Linked DNA regions of Cricetulus griseus. The protein of the gene in region 1 interacts with the protein of each later gene in a pairwise test. Links are inferred from orthologs where the notes say so. Each region holds a gene or a part of one and is shown on either strand. Other genes may lie near its edges. The genes, in order: Fndc11 and Gpbp1.

Region 1 (2,604 bases):
CCAGTCTTTTAGTTCTGTTTCTCATTCATCCAACCCCAGTTCTCACAACCTGAAATCTCCAAGTGAAGCCACTGGCCTAGTGCCAGGGACAGCTGGCAGGATGTTGGTCCCTTCTCCAGGGAGCTCTGGCTGTTGGGCTGTGTGGCACATCAGTCTCTCCACAGACAGCCAGATTTGGGGACCAGGTATGGAGACAAGGAGAGGAGGGCAGACTTCAACGATTCCAACTTTGTGATAAACTGGATTCAATAGCATACACCCCTGCAGTCTCAAGAGGGTGTGATGAGAAGGCTTGAGCACAGGAGTTGGAGGGCAGCCTGGACAACAGAGTGAGATGCTATGTCAAAACCAAAAGTGACCATGGAGGAAGACCAGCCTACCAAGCTTTTACCTCAGACTCCCTATCTATCTGTGGGATGGTAGGGTGGGACCTGCTCTGTCTGTTCTTGGGCATACAAGGCCCCTCTCTGTGTGAGGATGATGTAGATTCCTGTAGTAGTGCTGAGGTATACCAGATCTCTGGAGAGTATTGGATAATCATCCATGTCCCAGGGGTCACCCTAAGCTTCTCCACAGCCCCAGGGGCACTGTCCATTATCCATGGTAGATGAGGAGCCTGAGGCTTAGGACCTGTCTCAGAGCTTCTTTACAGGCCATTCTGACCCTATAGTCCACTCTCTCAGCCCTGTTAGCTCATCACCACAAAAGACTATTGGCCCCTTGATAGAAGTTTCCTGTCCGTCATCTACTCTTGTCTAGTACCCAGCCTACTATTGTATCCCTCCAGGGGTCTCTGGTTAGAAGGCTGTGGTGCAGGGGAGAGCAAAGGACATTTGTGGGGCAGAAGGCCTCGGTGGAGGTCAGAGCCGGTGTGACTGTCATAGCTGATGCCTAGTCCTTACCCCCAGCTCCTGGACAATGAACTTCCAGGTGACAGGCCTGGCCCTGGACAGAATGAAGCTCGACAGCCCACATTCCTTCCTGGACTCAGAGGAGGTGGAGGAAGCAGACGACCAGCAGCTGCTGGAGCCGGAGGCTTGGAGGACCTATGTGGAGCGCCGCAATGTGCTGCGTGAGTTTCTGACCACAGACCTGAGCCCCCAGCTGCTCAAGCGCCACCACGCCCGCATGCAGCTGCTTAAGAAGTGTTCCTACTACATTGAAATCCTCCCTAAGCACCTGGCCCTGGGTGACCAGAACCCACTGGTGCTGCCTAACACCATGTTCCAGCTCATTGATCCCTGGAAGTTCCAGCGCATGAAGAAAGTGGGCACAGCACAGACCAAGATCCAGCTCCTGCTGCTCGGGGACCTGCTGGAGCAGCTAGACCACGGCCGAGCAGCACTGGATGCCCTGCTTGAGGCCCCCGACCCACGGCCCTTCCTGGCTGGCTGGGGGCTTGTGGAGCAGCAGTTGGCAGACCTGTCAGTTGTCATGGACAACTTCCTGGCCATGATGGTACCAGGGCACCTGCACGTCAAGCACCGCCTGGTATCTGACATTGGAGCCACCAAAATCCCACACATCCGGCTTATGCTGAGCACAAAGATGCCAGTCATGTTTGACCGGAAGGAGTCCGTGGCCCACCAAGACTGGGTCAGCCTGCGCTGGTTTGTCACCATCCAGCCAGCAGCGCCAGAGCAGTATGAGCTGCGCTTCAAGCTGCTGGAGCCGCGGACACAACAGGAGTGTGCACAGTGTGGCATAGTCCCTGTGGCCGCCTGCACCTTTGATGTGCACAACCTGTTGCCCAACCGTACCTACAAGTTCACTATCAAGAGGGCAGAAAGCTACACCCTGGTGTATGAGCCCTGGCGGGACAGCCTCACCTTGCAGACCATGCCAGGACCCCCTGGAGGGCCTGCCCCCAGTCGGCTGGGCAAGCCCAGCCTGCCCCTGACCACGCCTTCTGAGAGATGATTTTCTAATATTTATCCACTAATAAAGAGGAGTATACGCACACCAAATTAAAGACACAACCCTACTTAGGCCTTAAGGCAACAGCAACCATATAATTTTTTCCTGATGGCCCACAAGTCCCAGAACCCCTGTGCCTTCTGTCTTTTCCAGGAGAGCCCCAGACTGGACATTTCAGCACCACTGTCCAAGGGAGCAGGAAGTGCTGGCTGCTCCAATAATGAGAGCTGTTCCAAGGGAACTCAGCTCCCTCAGCCTCAGCACCTCCTATGTCCCTCACCCCCACCCCCCACATCCAGAACCAGATTTCTTTACCTGCCTCCTAGCTTGAGATCCCTGAGGAAGAGGATACTTTGGTCCTGTCTGGACACCACTGAGGGCAATCATAGCCTTGGTGTCAGCATCCCAGATGCCTTGGAGCAAGGATGCCCAGGACCAAATGATGTCTTACTTTTAAAATAAAGGTCTTACATTCTCTCCAAGTAAGCTGAAGTTCATGGACACCCCAAGTGTGTGAGGGTCCCAGACAGGAAGCCTGGCTGGGAACTTGTCTAAGACATTCAACGGTGCCACCCCTGCAGCACTTACTCTCTTTGCCAGTTGATATTTGGCCCACATAGGTGACCACATTCCTCACTGATGTCCAGAACATCTTGACATTAAGGTCTTCTACACACATACACACAC
Region 2 (3,831 bases), on another chromosome or scaffold:
ATGGTCATAGCAAAAGTAAACTTTAATTAGTCTTAGTTTATAAGCTGTGGATTCGATGATACTGAATGATTAGGCTGAGTAGAAATGCCATTTCTAAGGGCAGCCAATTATAGTTAAGACAGTGTACTGAAAAAGCAACTGAGGCAACAGTTCAGTGTGGAACATACTAATTCTGGAGGCAGAATACTAAAATTGTTTTTCTCCTTTGCTGCAAATCAAGCAAATTGTGTGTGTGTGTGTGTGTGTGTGTGTGTGTGTGTGTGTGTGTGTGTGTGTGTGTGTTTTAATTTACTTAACTTTATGTGCATTTTATGAAGGTATCAGATTCACTGGAATTTGAGTTGCTTGCAGACAGTTGTGAGCTGCCATGTGTGTGCTGGGAATTGAACCTGGGCCCTCTGGAAGAGCAGCCAGTGCTCTTAACCACTGAGCCATTTTTCTAGCCCCAAGCAAATTTTACTTAAATGATCGTAATTCTTCCTCTATAAAATATGGATAGCATGTTAGATATTTTTCAGGGCTCATGAGTACTGTTGTATTCTTTGAGACTGAAGTTATTTAATGCCTTGATGTGTAATAGATACAAGTTGAAAGATGTGCAAATAGAAGTAACACAGATATTTAAGGAGTACAGTTTTTAAAAATGTATTAAAGATAGATTTCCTTAAAAACATAGAAACTTCAGGGTTACTGCTTTATGTGCAACATGCTTGTCCAACAGATCAAAATGGTCAGTTCTCTGTCAGGCTTTTCTTGGCTCTGTTTTTCTATAAATGGGAGTTTTTTCTTTAAAAAAAATTGGAAAGAGTAAGCTGTTATTAGTCATTTTTCATTATATACAGCTCGGTTGAATTTGGAAATAGCATTTTTCTGTTATTATAGAACATAATGCCTCTTCAGATTGAATTGTATACTGAGGATAGTTTTCTACCAAGACATATTGATAGAAGAATAAGTTATATGAAAAGCAAAAGTGGCATCGTTACGACTTTTAGTACAAGGATTTGCTACTTTTTATTTTTGTCTCTTTCTCTTGCAAGTTTCCAGCATAAATAACCTTGACCCTGAAGATTAAGCAATGAAGCAGTTCATTTTTATTTACTACCAAATATGGTTTACTTGATCAATTACTCATTTGTAAGGAAAAAACTCAGAAGTCCCTTTGTATCTTGAGGACTGTGGATCATGTTTTCTTGTACATAGTATATAGGGAATAATTGCATTACCCAGGTGAAGCTCTAAATTAAATTTACATTCCTCCCTTTCAGACTATTAAAGGAGATGGGCTGGCAGGAAGACAGTGAAAATGATGAAACATGTGCTCCCTTAACTGAGGATGAAATGAGAGAATTCCAAGTTATTAGTGAACAGGTAAGGAATCTTGAGCCTTTTTGATTCACTCATAAAACAACCCTTCCATAAACACTGTGGTGGTAGGGGCAGCCTAATAATTTTATTTGTTTAGGAATTTACTAGCCATTATACCACAGGCCAGAATTCCCTTTGAGACAAGTCTGCAGTGTCTTACTGTGTATACAGTGTCTAGGTGAACGAAATACTTTTTTGTTATCCAGACATTTAATTTGGTTATTGATTTGACATGGGTGACAAGTTTTAATTAACTTTGGCTCTTGATGTTTTCCAAAAAGAGCATTTAATATTCTAAACCATCTTGTTTTAGGTCTGTATATTTTCCTTTCTAAAAGAGTACAAGGACATACTTGGTAGAGCATCAAGAAGTTATTTTTCTAAATCTATTACAGGTTTTAAAAACTAGTTCTGGTAAAAGTAAATTTTGTATTTTTGCTTGAAAACATACCACATAAAATTTATTTAACCATTTTTCCCACCCACATTCAGCTTAATGGCTTAAATGCATTCATATTGTTTAACAACCATTACCACCATCCATGGTGTGTGTGTGTTCGTGTTCCCAAACATTAACCTACTACCATTAAATGATAACTTTCTGATTCTCTAGTACTGGAAATTACTTATTCTGCTTTCTATATAAACATGGTGGTTTTCCATGCCTCATATCAATGCAATCATACACTATTTGTCTTTTTGTGATGGTCTTACTTCTGGCATCATAACTTCAAGTTTATGTATATATAGCACTTCTGGGATTAGGCTGAGTAGAATTTCATTATTTGCATCTATCATATATTGTTTATCTATTCATCTGTTTAACTTTTGGCTATTATGAATAATGCTGATTTGAAAAAATGTAGGTTTTTTGTTTGTTTTTGTTTTTTTAAATTTAAATTTCTGTGTGTGTGTGTGTGTGTGTGTGTGTGTGTGTGTGTGTGTGTGTGTGTAGAATGGCTACTGAACAAAAGTAGGGTTCAGGTGGTGATAGCGCAGCAGGTCCAGGCACTTAACACCAAACTTGACAACCTGACTTTGATCCTGAAAATCCACATGACACAGTGGAGAGGTGGCTCCACAGTTAAGATCACTGACTGTTCTTCCAGAGGACTTGGGTTCATTTCTCAGCACCCACATGGCAACTTTCTGTAACTCCAGTTCCAGGGGATCTGGCATCTTCATGCAGAAACATACAGACAAAACACCACATAAAGCAAATTTTTCACATGTTGAAAATAAATGTTTAAAAATCAAAAAGTTTTGATAGTTGAGCAAGTGTAAGAACAATACACCTGGATGACCTGACCCCGCCCCCTAACAACGGGGCACTCACCTGCCATGCATTGCAACCTGTGAGGTGCAAAACCCCAGTGCGCATATGCAACCTTTCCTTTAAAAGGTCCTGCCACCCATCCCTCGCTGTCTTCCTTTTGGCTCCTCTTGTGTTGGCTGACTACCCATCCCCATCTCCCCCCTTTTCTGGTAAATAAACTCCACGTGGGTTGTTTATCTGTTGTTCCTTTCTTTATATCAGCAGCTGCAGCTTAAACAAAAGAATAACAGCAAGTATCCTTCTTGTATGATGGAACATCATCCTAGTGTGTTCAGCATTATTCCCCACTTTATCTTCTATCAGGTTCAAGGTGATAGACGAGGAACAATTTGCATTCTTCTACATGCAGACATTCAGTTAGACCAGCACCATTTGTTGAAGATGCTTTCTTTTTCTTTTAAGAGAGTATTTCTCACACTGGTTGCTTTGACCAGCCTTAATATGGCAACTCAATATGCCATGTTTGGTTAATAACCATGGGAGCCCTGCACTTTTCTGAGCAGAAATAAAGGAGGAATGGATGGGGCTAGGAAGGAGGAGGTGAGGGGGAGGGACTGGGAGTAGAGATTGGAGGGGAAATTGATTGGGATGCTTAAAAGAATAATAGTCATTTTATAAACAAGTTTTGTGGCTCCCTTTTGTATTCCATGTAAATTTTAATACGGAATTTTCTTTTGTTTATCTTAAAGCCTTTTATATTAATGTATATTAATTGAACAAACTAATGGTTTCATTGTGAGATTTTATACATGTATATAGTGAATTTGTTCATATCTCTCACCCCCATATCTCTTTTCTTGTCTGCCCTTTTTTATTTTCTAAAAGGGTGGATTTTTTCCTCAAATTCCATTGTTATGTTAAATGGAATTGCATTGAATCTGTAAGTCATTTGGGGTAATATTAGCATCTTAGCAATATTAAATCTTTTAAACCATAAGCATGAGATAGATGTTTTTTTGGATATATATATATATATATATATATATATATATATATAATATATATAGAATTACAAACAAGATTGAATTACCTGACAATCCCAGTTCCCTTCTCCCTCCCTTCCTCCCCTACCACCCCCTCAACTAAAATCCTACCTATCATAAGTCCTTCCTTCTAATCTACACCTG

Evidence for each region.
Region 2: the proteins of Fndc11 (region 1) and Gpbp1 interact in binary tests that used the Homo sapiens proteins (3 or more experiments, as listed by UniProt). The link is inferred for Cricetulus griseus from reciprocal best matches to the Homo sapiens genes FNDC11 and GPBP1.

Annotation. Positions count from the first base shown.
Region 1 is NC_048599.1:684,555-687,158, reverse strand, and holds Fndc11 (fibronectin type III domain-containing protein 11), read left to right. Parts: upstream 1-918; coding exon 919-1,920; downstream 1,921-2,604.
Region 2 is NC_048595.1:329,367,611-329,371,441, reverse strand, and holds part of Gpbp1 (vasculin), read left to right. Parts: intron 1-1,268; coding exon 1,269-1,371; intron 1,372-3,831. UniProt on the Homo sapiens protein: Functions as a GC-rich promoter-specific transactivating transcription factor.